Drosophila melanogaster: one gene and its partners. The protein of the gene in region 1 interacts with the protein of each later gene in a pairwise test. Each region holds a gene or a part of one and is shown in the gene's direction. Other genes may lie near its edges.

Region 1 (6,147 bases):
AGCGAGTATGTAAAAGCGAGAGTAAACGCATGACGTTTAAACGAAAGAGAGTGAGTGTCAGAAAGGGTTTTATCTATTCTTCTTTTATATTATTCCTTTCCCCTCTGACATGCGTGTTATATTCATTTCTTGGTAAAAGTGTAAACGCAGACGCAACTTTTGCAACAGACAACTGCGTAAATATGTATTTTTTGCTGTACGTACATACGTATATGATTAAAAATTCAAATTCAAAATACTGCGTGTGCGACGGTGAGTACACTTTTACATAGGCATATGTACATATATGCTGTATATTCATAAAATATTTTATTTTTGAAATTACCATTTGAACTGCATCGCTTGCATATTTATACCCGTTGCTCGTAGAGTAAAAGGGTATACTAGATTCGTTAAAAAGTATGTAACAGGTAGAAGGATGACATTCCGACCATATAAGGTATATATATTCTTTATCAGGATCAATAGACGAGTCGATCTGGCCCTGTCCGTCCGTCTGCCTGTCCATATTAACGTCTAGATCTTAGGGATTATAAAAGCAATAAGGTTGAGATTAAATATACAGTTTCTAGAGACATAGACGCAGTGCGAGCTTGTTGCCACGGTCACTCTAACGTCCACAAACCGCCCAAAACTGCCACGCCCACAGTTTTGAAAAATATATTTTTATTTTTTGATTTCTCCCCATAACGGTCGCGACCATGCCTTTGAACAATTTAAAATTTTTCTTTTTTTATTTCCCAATGCCAAAAACTGTTGAAATTTTCCGTTCGCTTTTCCCCTAGCTGACTGATTTGTAGTTGATAGGATCCACCGACACCGGGACATTTGCACCACTCTATAATAAATATTAACCCGTGTATTAACCCATATGACAAATTTAATATCATCGCATATGTAATGCATATGCAAAATATATTTTTTATATTTTTTATATATTATATTACAAACACACTTTCAACAAAATATTTTAATTAATAAATAAAAGATTAAATGATGTAGATGTAGAAACTTGACCCTATAAGCATATATAAGCGCAGGATCACTTAAAAGGTCCGATTGTCCGTATTAACACCGATATCTCGGAAACTGTAAAAGATAAAAGAGAAAGAAGAATGCAGCGCATGCATGCATGTACGCATCGATCAAAAGTTATAATAGGGTACCAGATTCGATGAAAAAAAACCCTAAAAGTATATATATATTCTTGACCAGGATAACTAGATTCGATCCGTATGAATCCGTCTGTCCGTATGAACGCCTCGATTATTAAACATTCAGATTCCAGATACATTCCAGAGACGTATCATAAATACGCCCACTCTAATGCCCAAAACTGCCATGCACAAACTTTTCGATTTATTTTGTCTTTCTGATCGATTCTATCGATAGTCCTAAAAATGTTGAACTTTCTCGTTTGCACTCTTAAGCTTAAAAAATTCTTCATAAAAAAAATTTTCAATTATTTTTTAATGATTCGAGTGGTTTGTTCAACGAAGAAACATTTTAACATGCATTTTTTGACTATTCCGGTGGAATAGTACGCATGTACGCATGATATTTTACAAATATTGTACAATATTTACGCAAGACATGTCGCGGAAGTATAAACATTCTCTTTTGGTCCAGAAAAATGTTAAAAAGAACTCAAGGTTTCATAATTCATAACGGACGTGCCTGATCGGCTCTGCTAGTGATCCTAAATACATATGTAAGTAAGCATATTCAAGATCATCTCGGGTCGCATACATTCTACTATAGCGAACATAAAAAATATTACACACATAATATTGGGAAAAGCTTAATCGGTTTGCACATTCAAAAAATTTTATTTAATGACAATGTGATACGAATAATATTATACATATATTTTTGTATTTATAGATATTTTTGATATCTCCGAATACAAATATTGAGTAGTTATTGGGAAAACAAAGGATCTACTTTTAAATGTTGAGTCCACGATGCTTGCCTGTAGGTATTTCGGTTCAAAAGAGACATTGTGATAGTTTTGTACCAGTTTAATTACTATAATATTTCTGATCATTCTGCAGACAATGGGATGTGGAACTTGCCGTGTTGGATCTTTTAACATCCGTCGGCAGTAATACAAAAATAATGAAAGATGATTGCCCAAGCTGCACCCACACAAAACAAAGGCACACACACATGCATAACAACAGGCAGAAATTAAATAAGGAAAAGAGAGGCTCGCTGTGAAAGCATAAAGCACATTGGTACACCGTTTTATCACATCATCTCCCGTCTCGCTCTAACGTAATTACCACTCTGCGTGGCAATAATTACCCCATTACGGAAATCTCCCAAAGTCTCTCAGTGTCTCTCTTGAATGTTGATTTGTACGCATGACTCGATTCTGTTCGGCTCGGTCGGACTTTCGGAGAATAAAGAAGAGGAGAGCAGAGCTCGAGAGCCCCGGAGAGCATTAACCAGCAAGTAAACAAGTAAGCCTGCCTCTCAGCTCAGTCGAAAAAAAACGTTGAATGAGTCAGATGCGGGTCGGATGGTGAGTTTTAGAGCTCTCAAAGATGCGGTTTCGCTGTAGATCTTCATTATGATATATTTGCCGTTGGCGTGACTGTGAGACTAAATGTGACTGTGACTATTCGCTGGTTAAATGCGCTAAAACATAAAAAGTGACATAGTAAAAAACAACCAAAGAGTGAAACTAACTGCAATCTGAAATGTGTTACCTCTGTAATCAATCATTCACTGCTAGCCCAATCCCAATTCTGCGAATAGTGATATCTATGTAAAGTTCGATATGGGTGCGCGTTGTTATACGGCGTCTACTTGAGTTTTATATTTACTTTTTACTTTTGCGTTGTGTCGAACAGAGTATCACAAAAAAAACCTATAATGGCAAGAATGAAGAACACCGTGAACCTTTCGACCAGTTTCAAAAAAATGCATTGCGAGATCAGCCCAACTTCCTGCCCATACCTGCAAATGGATACATTCGATTAGAGTAAATAACAACCATGCCGGAACAATTCTGCGGCACTTCTTCGTAAAATATTCAGTTCGCTTCTGCTACATGTTTAAATCAGTCGGAAATATGGGTGCATGCTAACGGTGCAGTTCCGAGCAGAAAACAATACACTCACCCTTATCCTTATGTGTGAGGTGCATTGGTATTGGAGTTCTGGTCCCTAGCAACAAAAACTTCAATCCGTAGACAAAAGCAGAGTTTCATTCCACTTCCAATGAGGACAATCCTGCACTATTTTGTTTGATGTATCGAAGCTATCGAAAACGGATTCCGTCCGGGAATAGTTTTTTATTTTTAATTGCATTATGTGCCAAACGATCCCAGCCGAGTAAAGCCGAGCTGCCTTGAGCTGAGAGCAACGAGGGTGTGCGAACGGAAGTCGCAGGAAGGAAAGAAGCTGAAAAGAGCACACCACAGGCACAGGAAAGGGTGCTGTGCCGCGCTAGTCGGTTGTTGGATGTTCTCTATGAATTGCCTTCAGCGATTTAATGAGCACGTGGTCCACGAGAGAAGTATATGCAAAAACGCTGTGTGTCTATTTCTGTCTCTGTCTTGGTCTTGATAGCTCTCCCCTCTTCGTCGCGGTGTCTGCACTGGGGTGGGCGGATGGCAAGTGATGGGAGGGAAAGGAAGCAGAACTTCCCACTTGTGATTGTGCTTGTGACTGTGCGTGTGTGAAAATGTGTGTATAAAAAAGAGACAACTGTCTCGCTTGCGATATAAGCAGCCAACTAGGAGTAAAAGTGTTTATATTAAAATGCAAAATCCCAAGAAGTTGGCAAATTAAATCAAGGGGCGTAACGCGCGCGAACACACTCTCCTTGCACTCATCCAATTCGCTCGATTTGCTCTCTTGAAATTTGCACACATTGCAGATATAATTACAAGTGTAAGAAAAAAAGACATTTAACATAGTTTTCAGCACCCGTTCGTTCTATATAAAAAAAAGATTTTGTGTGAAAGTTAATGTCTTTTCAAGCCATTGTGAATTTCTTTTATTTGGTCTTTAGTACAATCATTCTTTCAAAAAACTGGAGCCATATATGTATGTACAGTGATAAAGTGGTAAAGTCCTTGGCAAAACTACTTTTGTGTTGCCAACTGACTGCTGTGGGTCGATCACCTTTCGACTGTCACCTGCCACTGGTCACGGCAATTTCACCCGCATACACCTGTATACATATGTACATAAACTGGCACATCAGGGTTTTTACTTAATTGGGTTCTTTTTAAGCCTTGCTGTTGCCTGCCGGCTTCTCCCTAACATCCTGTCTATTGACCACCTGTCTCAAGTTGATGGCTTCACATAAATGCAAAATCAAAACCGCAAACCCTATTGAGAGAGACCGTATTTGAGGGTCAGTAAAATATGTAACCAATAATTTATATATAAAATATACCAATGTCTGAAGAACTTTGCACAATTCGAATGTATAACACTAACTTGTAATAGCTAAATATTTCAGGTGAAAATAATAATAAAATTGTTCACAAAATTACTCTTTAGGTGCCGCAGGCTAATTATCTCGCCCAAATCCACGAGCGCTCGATTCAAAAGTTCCTATAATATTTAAGCCTAAAGTTAAACATAACATAGTACAAACTATCGCCGCTAACTTAAAGTAATTCACGATTGAACTAGCTAATAACCCAACTTACTCCAAGTCTAAACGCTCGCAAACATACATAAGTGCAAAAACAAAAACAGCAAGGAGAAATCGAACGCCCTTATTTGAAGGATCTTCATTTCAATCGTCGAATGGCTTAAGGATTCAACTTTTCATAAGGACCTCAAGTGAGTACAATATTAGATTTGGTAAGGGTATGTTGTCTAGTTGTATGCGCAAAATTGGTCCTTTGTATACAAATAATCATATCATAGCCTCCAGAAGATATGGATAAAAAATATGTCTCGATAGTATTTTATTTTCAAGTACAAACCAGTTACGAATCTTATTTTATATATGAATAAAACAAGAACGTATTCATTATTCGTGTATATCGACTATATATACCCTCATAGCCGTCTATAAGACATCATTACCTCAGTTATACAATCAGCAATACCTCATAACACAATGAATTTTCGGTTACACCTTTCATGTTGAGTCCCAAATACTATAGATCAACAATGACGGTTAATGAGAAAATATATATATTGTTTCCATTTTATTTCTATGACATTTTTTTTATTAATGAGTCCGATTCGTTTCGACATATTTACGTATATACTAAATACAATAGAAAGAATATTTTCGGGAAAAGTTAATGCTTTAATAGCTTATAGCCTTAAATCTGAGAGAGTATTTGGCGTAGGAACAAGCAGGCAAACTGACTATATAAGCTCGGCTGTTTTTGCTGATCAAGAATATACCTTCACTACATTGCATACTTCTGAGAAAAATTGCATATAGTGTAGGCAATAAGAACGCCTATATGTAAGTTAAATATCATTAAATAAGTTCGTATTTAACAGCAAAGGCTGCAAATTAAGAACGAACAAGTATTTGCAAACATTATTGTCTGCGGAATTAGTGTTTCGTATAAGCGCACCAAATAATAGCTATTGGTTCATCATGTCAAGTCACCCATTGGAACATTTTAATTACTTAAAGACTTCTAATTAGCCAATGACGATGAAGCTCTCACAGAGAGGTGGAAGGGGATTACTAGTCCCTTGTGCTTTGAGTCTTGAGAGTTGGTTCAACGAACGAATTGAACTTTACCGAAATAAGCTGAGCCGAACAGAAAAATAACAATGCCGAGCAGAGAACTAAAATCATCCAGTAATTAAGCACATAACAGACAAAAGCAATGATGACGAGAGCAAAGCCCTCATACTGAGAGCTTAGGGCTTCGCTCTTTAGCTGTTAAATCTCTGATGTTGCCAGTGCAGAAACAGTGGAAACATGGCAGAAACAGCGGAAACGGAATCAAAAGAAGAGTAAAGCAACTGAATGCGACAACCGCCTAAGCGCGACTTGATTGGTCGGTTGTCGCTACTTAAAGTCCGCGGCTCCCGCTCCTCTCCCTTCTGTTTTGTTTCGCTACTTACTCCTCCTCGTATTTTCTCTTCTCTTGCCGCACGTCCGCACCTGCCGCCTCAAGCCTCTTCCTCTGTGGGTTTGGTATTT
Region 2 (6,128 bases), on another chromosome or scaffold:
AATTTATCAATTTAATACAGCTTATTGCAAGGAAAAGAGATAAGCTTGGTAGCTATTTTCTTTGTAAAACAAAATGGATTAGCTTACTTCAAAAGCCCTTGAACTAAGCTTATTTTCAGGGCCATAATCCCTGGCCGATTTCAATTAAACTTTGCTGTAAAATACCAATCAACTAGCAACTTTTGCGACCACCCTCTTAGTAAGTTGGACTTGGCTAATACTTGAAATTGTCTGCTAATTCGTAATTATTGCTACTTTACCATGTTGCTCCTGCGTTGACTGAATTGGCTGCCCTTTCTTGGGCAATTAGGACGAGGCGCTGGCTGGCAATGCCAAGTGTCCCCTGGTCGAGTGGCTTTCACTGGAGGTTCCGGATTCCCAGCATACGTGTCCATCAATAATGCGTCCTGGCTGCTGGCTCCTGGCTCGCATCGCCGCAGCCATGCCTTCCATTCGTCAATTGGCCATCCATCAGTTCTAATTAATCATGGCTCGGGCCTAATGAGTTGCTCTCAAATATGCTGGGAATGAATAGATGCCACTATTTCGGACGCTCCGCTAATGGAAATGGGTCTTAACTCGTGCTATACAATTGTCGCCGTTCCGATAGCCTTGTTGCAGTGTTCACAATGCAATGTCCGCAATACGCAATTTCAATTTCACGAGAACCAGCAACTGCGCACAAATCCAGCGGTGATTCTCATGCACATGGAAAATATACGAATCCTTAGTTAATTCTTGGAAAGCAGTTTGATAAATTAATTACTTTCAAAGGAACATCGTTAATTAATAATTTTCGTTATATCAGCATCGAATAGGAGGGGCACACACTTTAACTTTTTATTAGTGACATCAAAATATTATATTGATGAAGAGATGCTGTTCGAAACCTAATTATGTATGTTATATATATTCAAAAAATACATTTGGTTACCATTTTAGTAACTTTTTCTCAGCGTGTAATAGAGGATATAGCTGTGGCTATGGCGTTGTCAGTGGGACTGACCTAGAGTCCGTCAACAACTTGAGCTGCCTTGGCGAACGTGTTGACATCTTTGTTTTGGCCCGCTCATAATTCGCATTTTTTCGGTTTGTTTTTGTTTTGACTGCGGCTGCGGCTTTGTTTTAGCTCGCTATTTTTTCCGAAAATATATTAACGGCTAACCCGATTCATCAGCCTATTGACAAGATGTCATGTGGGACAAGCAAATGACCGAACAAAAGACCGAATGTCTGGCGAGGATGGCTAAATGCAGACCAATCATACTGCATGTGATGACGGAGAGGAATTTGGTATTTATAGAATAATAAGCGAAAAATAAGTAATATTAAAGAACTAAATGATTTAAGACAACATAGTAACAAATGTTGATCTTCTTAGGCATATTATTAATATATATTACGTAAACAAGTGCTTAGAAACAGAACTTAATAAATTAAGATGAAATAAATATTAATAATTCAATGACAAATCTTAAGCGTATATATTTTATTATGATGTCTAGAGTAAAAAACCTACCTATCTCTAAATCATTTGTCTTTCTGTTAACACTTTTAATTATGCTGAATTCTATAACTACATAAAACTCGCGCGATATTTGCTAAGACATCAATTTCCTTATTCTATATAAGTATCAATATTTCTATAAATATTTAAAAAAATTCGAAAATGAATCATTCTGCCAGATAAATGCGTGGGCGTCGATCTTTTCCTCAGCTTTTCTTTCCGCTGGACTAAAGAAAAGTGAAAATCTCACTCTAATAACTGCGAAATAAGCCAGAACAATAACAGGTAAGAATACGTATTGAACAATATATTGTCGCTCTTGGACTTTCTGCGCGACATTGTAAAAAGCGAGAGGAATTCTTACAGACAATTATGGTACATATATTATATTATATGTATATATGTATATAATTCTTGCACAGGTTCGTTGGGGTCGGGTGAAGCTGGGAAACAACAAAAGTGCTACGTGAAAGTGGGAAGAAGACGCAGAAATATTTGTGGCACTTTTGTTGTTGCCTCAGGTTATATTTATAAAATTTCACCTCAAGAACGGCTGATCATCAAGCGTTCGAGAGTCGAGCAGAGAAAAACATTCATTTTCATTTCTGGCACGCTCGCGAGTGGACGTGCGGACCGATACGCCGATAATAGCTATAGCCCAGTTCGATTCCCAACCACCTATATCCATATATATATATCTATTAAGTGTATATAGAGGGGTGCAAAGATCTACCCAAAGATCTTTCACCTGTCGCGCAGTGCGTGAGGGTGCGTCCAAAAGCACCAGTAATCGCGACGCGAGTGTTGGTTTGAGCCAAGGCGGTAATACATCGTACCTCAGTTTGAAAGTGAAGTCAGTGAAAGTCCTTGTGCCGCCAAGGCATGCGAATAAATTTGCAAAAGTTTCGCGAAGCATCAGGAAATAGAGGAAGCCAACGCAAGTGAGTCGAACGGGGTGGATACGTCCTGATTTTAAGCTCGTTTTTGGAAACGCATTCAAATGGAGATGAGCTCGACGCATTCAATGGCTGCTGATTATGTAAAAAAAAGAAGAGAGAAAACGGCGAAAGGCGTGAGAATCTCGGCGAGAGAAGGAGCTTGGGAAAATGTCACCTGGCTGAAAATTGCGCTTTCTCAACATCCCACCGTGTGCACACTCCCACATTCGTGAAAAGCTGTCAAAATTATTTTCATCTCCTTCGGCTTCGCGTTCAAAATTTATTAACAAATTTTGACATAATCATGTATACAAATATATGTTGATGAGGATCTGTTATACGCTATATTACGTGTGTGTGTGTGTGTGTGTGTGTGTGCATATCTCATCAGAAAGCATGGCAATAATTTGCCCACACTCACACACACAGGCACGCACACAGAGACGCACATTGCTCATACGCCGTGTTGCTGCCTTATTTTTAGTTCGATTCAATCAGCGACATTTTCAGAGATTTTCTATTTCCATTTCTGTTGTTTGTGTTTGTCTTTTGCCCGCTGCTCGCTTATCATTGATTGCTTTGTTTGCTTTTGTTTCGGTTTCGGTTTTGCTTTTGCTTGTTCCTTCTCCCATTCTCGCCATCCATTTGGAATGTTTGTGGTGGGCTTTCTCGTATTTATTTTTATATTCACACCTCTCACACAAAACAATTAATTTCTCGTTTCGAAATATAAAAATAAAAATAATACGGAAGATTAAGTGAGAGAGGCGTGTGCGGTTTAAATTTATGTGCCGCCGGAAAGTAGGCAACAGTTTTTTCCAGTTTTCCTTTTAGCTTTATTGCGAGCACTCGCCTCTTTTCAATTCACTTCATCTGCCCTCCAACCCCATCCCTCCTCCGCTCTTTTCGAGTGTGCTTCAGCTGGGCGGAAGTTCAAGGTCGCTGGCAGCATTAAAGAAGTGCCATTGCAGCACGCTGGCAATAGATATCCACCTAAACTAGTTTTGATTCGAATTTACTGGCCACTTTTGCAACTTAAATTAAAAACTGCTCGAAAGTAGCGCGTTGGCAACTTTAAAGTAAATGTATTGCTTATGATTTCTTAGTGTTGTCTCATTTTCTTTATCCATTCATTTAAAGGTATTTTAAAAACTACATAAAGTTGTACACCTTTTTGTTGAAAAGTTTTTGTTTCAACAGACAAATAGCATTTATATTACCAAAATCTAATATGGAAAAATATTCCAAATGTTTCCGAGCTATTGAAGTTTTTAAGTCACTTGTTTTAAGTCAACTTGTTGGTTGCTGAAATCTGTATTATGTTTAAATATTGCTATATTCAAAAGCTTAGTGATTGCAAATAAAACCAATCTGCAATAATACTAAAAACGAAATCATCATAAAATGTATGAATTGATGTATAATTTTTCATGCCACATTTTACTGTATCATTTTAGTAACGCAATGAAGCTCCGAATTGTGCTCATTAAAGAAAATTAATTATAAGGGATATCAATGCAATTGTGTGAACAATTAATTTCTATTAAATTCCCTTTACGCGTTCGATGCTCAAAAGACCGCCGATGTAATCATGTTATTATAGTTTCGGAAATTGGTTTTCCATTGTTTAATTGTTTCCTTTGGTCGAAAGGAACTCGGCCACGGCAAGTTAATTAAAAAGATCTACCTTCGCAGCCATATGCTCGACCCCAGCTGATTATTCATTAACCTGGTCAAGAGTGTGTGGCCCACCGAGGAGCTTATCTGTCGCAGTGCACAATAAGCGAACCTTAAGCGCATTCCGAACTTCATTATCTTCGACTGTCAACCGCGCCCAATCGAATCCCATTCAATACTATCCAATCCCATCCAATCCCATGCCATCCAATGAATTCCAACTTTCACCACCCGCCTTCATCATTGTTTTGCGTGCCGCAGCCTTTGAGGCCGTATAATTAAGTTGGCATGATGCGGCTTATGCGCAGCGTGTTAATGGCCAGGTAAATGGCTACTCGACCCTCACTCCCCACAATTCACTCACAATTGCCTTTGGCTCTAAATTTAATATATTTTCTTTTTAATTTCAGCCAGCAGAGTTAACAGCCAAAGGAACAGGCCCCTTTCAAGGGCGCCTCGGATACCCAAGTAGACAATAAGAAGAAAACAACACTTGGAAACGTAAGTTATCACCGCTGAAATTGGAACGTCACAATACTTTGTAGTTTCTATAGTATTCCTTTGGGAGTGCAGCTAAAATTTCAAAAAGTTTCGATTGCATCTGCTTCTCCCGTCTGCTCCGTTTATTTATAGCCCAAAAATACAGTGCAGTTTTCATTTCTTTATTTGTTTTTCTTTTTGGCCTAGGAGTGCAGACTGCAGTCTGTGAATTCCGGGCTAGTGAGTTCTATTTTCGGCATATTCCCATAGGGAGATAGAATGATATATACAGAGCTAGAGGAGCGAAGTTCTGACCTTGAGAAGCATGCACAGAAAAAAAAACTGCGAAACTGGATAGAATTATTTTGGTAAAAGTAACAAATGTTTGTGTAGGGAACTTAACCTACTTACTTACCGAATGCAATTATATGTAGTTAATAGATACAGATAGATATTTTGAACATGTTTGAGAAAAAGCTTAATTGTAACTTTTAGGGACAACTTTTTGAATGGAATATGAAATTTTAGTTCGTATTGCAGCAAACTAATGGTTTACTGCTACTTAAGTTAAGGGAAAACTTCTAATGGAAGTAGAAACTTTTCACTTGGCACAGAGAAATGTTCCACTAGTTTGACGGAACAGCGAATTCGAGCGATGTTCGCTCCAATTTTCAATGAAATTTATTTTTAGGGCCCGTTACAGCGAGATACACAAAAGCACACAAATAGCCCAGCAATGAGATATAGATGGAAAATGCCGGCGTGCGTCCGAATGAGAAAATCAGCTCAGTTGATGACGTCAAGAGTGTGCGTGCATGTATTCGTACTAAATGGAGGAAAATCTTTTCGGTTAATCCAATAAGTAGCCGATGTCCAGGTTCGAGGCGAGAAATGGGAACTCCATTTGGAAGTAACATGCAGTGCGAAGTACTCATTTGTATCTTTGTATCTTATTAATGGCGCTGCAGCCAAACTGTAGATAAAGATACATACGCACGATGCCAAGAATATATTTTTGCGTTTGTGTCTGACGATCGCGCATTTTGTTTTGTTTCGCTCTCTGGCGATATATAGACGGTATATATCTGCAGATACACAGCGAAATCGGGAGAGAATGCCGCGGATTGTATATATATTTAAAATATTGTAGACTGTTGCTCAGCTCGTGTGCTTGGCAATTTTCACTTGCCATCAGTCGCTTTTTACATTTCCAATCGAATTCTACTAGGCGTGTTGCCCAGCAAAAACTGAAAAAAAATATAAGAAAAAAATCTAAACGACACCGTACCGAATTAGATATATTGAAATTAAAGTAAGGCGAACGGAAATCGATTGTACTCATTAAATGAAAGTGCCCAAAAACGAGTTGAAAAGGACTGAATTATAAGGATTCTCGCATTGCCAAAACCAATTGCATTTTATGATTGCCTTCGAGTGCCGCTTTGACAGCAACAGCAAGGATTGCCAAATAGTTTCCCATTTCAATTGGTAAGTTGGTGAGGTTTCTATGTATTTCAATTTTTTTT
Region 3 (5,360 bases), on another chromosome or scaffold:
AGTTTGAATAATAAGTTTGGGTTAAAAAAGCTAACAAAATAAATATATTACCTATATACTAGTTTTCCAATAAAACTATAAAAGATAAAACAACACACATTCAACATTCACCTTTTATCGATCTGGGATCAGAGCCTTATGCTTGGAATCGAGTGATATACTTAAGTCGCACTCACCAACAAAACCTCCTTTAAATCATCTAGGTGACCTTCGTTTCTCTTGCTTCCCTGCAGTTCTTCGTTCAGATTCGCCACATCTTGCAGAAAAGAGTGATACACAGTCGACGTAGCCAACTCATGGGTAGACGTGGTCCAATTGTCGTCTAGGAAAAGATAGAAATTCAATATTAGATAACACATTAACGTTAAGTGTGGGTGGTACTTTTAAACAAAAATCCAATTAAATGAATTTTCACAGCTGTAGATCGTACTTATAGCTTTCAGAAGCAGTAGACTAGGCAACTGTTGCTTCTTGTAGTTCATGCGCCACACCCTGAGGCAATCATCTCTGCCGCTGCTGAGCAGACAACTAATACAGCCTTCGATCTCATTAGTCTGCTTGGATCCGGCGCTTATTTCCCGGAAGAGCGTAAGGAATATGTTGGCATGCCTCACAGGACTGTTGATATAGTGTTGCTACACACAGGAGGAAGAAAGGTCAGTGAAACAATGGGACAACTATCAATTGTTTTCGTCCTTACAAGCAACAAACGCGCACTACGCTTCAGACTTTGCTGCCATTCCTTGGGCAGGTGGTTATAGGGTGCATTGAGCGCATTGTAAGTGGCAAAGAACTCCTGCTGGTTGATCTGCAGAGGATCCGCTGTCTTCCGGACAGCTGCTGCACTCAGAGCCCGCTCCATATACTCGACCACAAACTTGGTGTACTGCTTTAGCTCCAGGTTGGGCAGCATCAGGTTCTGCCACACGCGAACGCCCTCGTTTAGGGACTGATAGCCACCTTGTCCAATTGCCCACAGGATGCTCAGGCAGATGTTGCTACGGTTCTGATAGGAGTTCCTTAGCAACGCAGTCTTGGCCAGGTTCCTAGAACAAATGTTCGGCCAGTTTTGACCGATCAACTGTAGGATGAGCTTGTAGCCTGCCACTGTCTGATTGTTGTTTAGATCCGTTGACATGCTATCCAGCAGGGAGTAGAAGAAATACTCCAGGTTTTGTTCGCCCACACTGCCCAGAAACTCCACAATTGAGTACTTGAGCGAGGCGCTGGCCAAATTGCTGGGATACTGAGCCGAGCGGCCGGAGAAGATGGGATCGCAGTCATAGGACAAGGCTTCATTGAAGTATAGCGCAATCTGGGGGACAACGATAGGTGAGCAAATATTTAGGCACATTTCCTTTAGAAACATACATGGCTTAACCAGCGCAGCTCGGAGCCAGGACAACTGAGCTTCACCTGCTCCAGTTGGGCAGCAAAATCATCCCGGGTGATGTTTCTCAAGGCCAGCTCCAGAGTCTTTGGCTTCGATGCGGCTGCCGACGTGGTCCTTTTTTGGGTAGAGGCATTCTTTGCGGTGTGCTTTTTAACTGGCGACTTATTGGCTTTTGAGGAAGATGAGGCACTTGAACTAGATTTCGCAGGGGAATGGGACTTGCTGTTGTTGTTGTTGCTGCTGCCGAACAAATTGCGATACCGCTGAGTTGGCACTGCGAAGTGAATAAAATGGCAGGGGCAAACATGTAATCGCATTGCAAGGTGCACCTTTTAAAAGATTCTTACACAGCTCCTCCAGTTTGGGCAACTGGGCCGCGATGCGCTTCTGCTCGTTGTGTGCAGACACCTTCTTGTCCAGATTCTTTTGCTTGCGCGACTTGGAGACCACCTCCCATTGTTCCGACATGTTGCGAGCAGTCTTTTTATCGATGGTATTAAATTAAATCAGAAAATGCAGGCAGCCGGCAGAATAAAAAGCAACAAGCCAAGAGTGTGGCCAGCGCAAGTGTAAAGTAATGTGGTCTACTTTCGGTAGTTGAATTACCGACCGCTTTTTAATGTGATTTTAAAGCAGCTGCCTGCTTTTTGTTGTGATACATGTAATAGATAAATAAATAAATTTAGCTATGTTTTAAATGTGTTTGAATAACTGCCAATGCAGGAGAAACCATTTTCTTTACCAGGGCTGAAACGCATACCAAAGTTGTAAAGCCTCTGCGATATATACTATGTTTGCTACATTGGTCACACTGCTCTGCTTGTTTACATTTACAAATTGTAAAATATTATTATTTAATAGCTGCTTTAAATCATAGTTTCTATATATAAATAACAAAAATGGCTGCCTCGCGATCACGGCGCAACAATGCCGGCAACAAAATAGCTCATTTGCTCAATGAGGAAGAGGAGGACGACTTTTACAAAACGTCCTATGGTGGATTTCAGGAGGACGAAGAGGATAAGGAATACGAGTGAGCACTAATCATTTGAATAAATTTAAATGCTCAAGCCATATAAAATTCACTCTGCAGGCAAAAAGACGAAGAGGAAGATGTGGTTGACTCCGACTTCAGTATCGATGAGAACGACGAGCCCGTTTCGGATCAGGAAGAGGCGCCCGAGAAAAAGCGGAAACGCGGTGTCGTTAACACAAAGGCTTATAAGGTGCGAACCATTCTTAAAATGCGATAAAATCCTGTGATTACTGAATGTGTTTAAATGGTACATATGATTTCCGCAGGAAACCAAGCCTGCAGTCAAAAAGGAAACAAAGGCAACGCCGGCCCTGCACAAGAAACGACCTGGTGGTGGGGTAACGAAACGGCGGCCACGTCCACGCTTCACGGTCCTCGATTCCGGCCGCAAATCCATACGCACTTCCACGGCCATCAAGACACAGGCTACCAAAATACGCCTCAAAGAGTTGGACGATGCCCGCAAGCGCAAAAAGAAGAAGGTGCGCGTGGAGGACTACATGCCCACGCAGGAGGAGCTGCTGGAGGAGGCCAAAATAACCGAGGAAGAAAACACTAAATCTTTGGGTGGGTATCTAAAGCAACCAAGGAAGCAGCTATTTTACAATTTGCTGTTGCATTCACAGAGAAATTCCAGAAAATGGAGCTGGAGAAGAAGAAATCACGTCCCACCAAGCGCACGTTCTCCGGACCCACGATACGCTACCACTCACTAACCATGCCAGCGATGCGAAAGCCCACTCGCGGAGCAAACCCTGCGGTCGATTCAAAGGATCTTGCTGGGAAGTGCGAACGCACATTCGTTACAATCGAGAACGATTTCAATGACAAGGTGTTTCAAAGCCTCTTCCGCCACAAGGCGCCTCCCAAAGCCAGCAATGGCATCTGTCCAATCACCAGGCTGCCAGCCCGTTACTTTGACCCGATCACACAGCAGCCATACTACAGCATCCAGGCCTTCAAAATTCTGCGCGAAGCCTACTACATGCAGCTGGAACAGCAAGGCGGCGGCAGCGAGCAACCCGAACTGGCCAAATGGCTGGAATGGCGCAAGCTGGTCAAGGAGAATCGTCTGAAGGCTTCGGCAGCTGCCAGCAAAAACGGAGATAACTAATAATGCTATCAATTTTATAGTTCATTAAGCTATACGTATTTTTCGAATAAAAAGGTATAAGAAATCACAAACTACTCTTTGGACAACCCTCGTCAATTTCAGGCAGTACCAAACGATTACCTAATATATTTCATACAATGGCGACAATGGAAAAGTAGTACATAGGGTATTTCCCAAAACGTTATCTTTAAAAAGTATTTATAATCAACGCACAGTCTGTTTTGATTTTATTTATCAGCAGCATCCGGTTTATTAACTTAAGAAGTTGATAAAACAGTTTACACAAAAGAAAGTTTATCTTGCTAATCCAATTTGTATATGTAAAACCCATTTATTACCTTTTAGTATCTAATTTTAATTGCCGCTCTATTTAAAAGTTTAGTTGTCTAAATAATAAAAGCGTCGCAGTCTTCTATTAAGATTATTCAAAAGAATTGTTTCGCTTAATTTGCGTCAAATTGATAAGCACACAGCCTCTCTTTGCAATATATAACAAAATCTGGAGGAAATGCGGTTGTTCCGACACACAATAACTAATTAATAAGTATGAGACATTACATCACATAAATTATTAACCCATTGTATTCTCTATTTATAATCTATGGGCGAAGTATTGTTCATTTCCGAATGAAATTGTTTTTCAATCCTAAACTCTTACAGGGAATTAGTTGAGTGGGCCCTGCCGCAACCTTGTCGCATCTGTATGTTTTTGTCGACTTATCAAAATCAACGCACGCGCTGGCTATTTGAATTGTCGGAACGGGAACGGGACAAGGTATTGTGTGAGCAAGATTTAGTCATACCCGTGAGCTTAGATCAAACGAACGTCGTGCGTTTAAACGGAGAAATGAAGAGCTGTGCGGCGATTGGAGTCCTTCTGGTACTGCTACTTCAGTACGAAGTGGTTAGGACGGACAGCGATAGCAGCGACAGCAGCAGCAGCAGCAGTGGAGAGAAGAAGCACAAGCACTCCAAGACGGAGCACAAGTACAATTATCCTGCATATCCTAATCCGGGCTATCCTCCGTATCAAGAAATGGGAGGCTATCCTTCATATCTCTACAATCCGTACATGCCGTATCCTCCGTATCCTCAAATGGGAGGCTATCCTTCATATCCCTACAATCTGTACATGCCCCCACCACCACCACCACCGCCACACCCGCAACAAGCTCCGCCACCATCAATGTATCCACCCGACCCGTCCGGATATCCAGGCGGCTATCCACCGCAGGGGGCTCCCGGACAGAATCCAGTTAACAACCCAAATGCGATCCCCAATCAGCCTCAGGCACAGCAGCCTGCCAGCGGCCCGGGATCAGGGCCTGCCCCGAACTATCCTCCAGGCGGCTCGAGCGTTATTAATCATTCCCTTAAGGTCAACAAGGAATACAACGAGGACGGTCACCACCAATCTTCAACGTAGTCGCAGTCGAGATACAATGTTACATGAAACTTTAAACGTCGGATTGGGCCTCAAGTTTCAAGTCGGCCTTCAATACAATGTAGCAAAGTCGAATTAAAGATTTAAACAGTACTTGGAATTTTCACAATTTTCACAGTCTTTGATTAAATAAAAGAAAGAAATGTTCTCTTACCATTGTAAATAAAGACATTACTGAAAAGGTAAAACGAGATATTTTAGTATCACATATATTTCATAATATAAAAGGTACTTGAATATGTTTTATACACAAATGTACAAAATCATGTATGTACATATTAGGCAGTCTACTTTTCCACTATTGTGCTGTGGTTATACAAGTGCACGTGGTAGACGTAGCTGTTCATGCATTTCTGGATACTGAGCACTAGTG

What was found.
Region 2: the proteins of zfh2 (region 1) and tn interact in a two-hybrid assay, tested with the Drosophila melanogaster proteins (one large-scale study listed by BioGRID).
Region 3: the proteins of zfh2 (region 1) and YL-1 interact in a two-hybrid assay, tested with the Drosophila melanogaster proteins (one large-scale study listed by BioGRID).

The regions. Positions count from the first base shown.
Region 1 is NC_004353.4:499,331-505,477, forward strand, and holds the start of zfh2 (Zn finger homeodomain 2), read left to right. Parts: upstream 1-2,479; 5' UTR 2,480-2,527; intron 2,528-4,520; 5' UTR 4,521-4,808; intron 4,809-6,147.
Region 2 is NT_033778.4:18,985,244-18,991,371, forward strand, and holds the start of tn (thin), read left to right. Parts: upstream 1-2,100; 5' UTR 2,101-2,448; intron 2,449-4,140; exon of another isoform or gene 4,141-4,445; intron 4,446-4,532; 5' UTR 4,533-4,623; intron 4,624-5,793; exon of another isoform or gene 5,794-6,090; intron 6,091-6,128.
Region 3 is NT_033779.5:10,968,262-10,973,621, forward strand, and holds YL-1 (YL-1), read left to right. Parts: upstream 1-2,181; 5' UTR 2,182-2,292; coding exon 2,293-2,426; intron 2,427-2,486; coding exon 2,487-2,619; intron 2,620-2,695; coding exon 2,696-2,996; intron 2,997-3,055; coding exon 3,056-3,543; 3' UTR 3,544-3,832; downstream 3,833-5,360. Other genes in the region: Tmem214 (transmembrane protein 214), read right to left, coding at 177-322, 431-635, 701-1,315, 1,372-1,667, 1,741-1,861; CG16743 (uncharacterized protein), read left to right, coding at 4,247-4,969; abo (abnormal oocyte), read right to left, coding at 5,275-5,360. UniProt on the Drosophila melanogaster protein: Part of the Tip60 chromatin-remodeling complex which is involved in DNA repair. Upon induction of DNA double-strand breaks, this complex acetylates phosphorylated H2AV in nucleosomes and exchanges it with unmodified H2AV.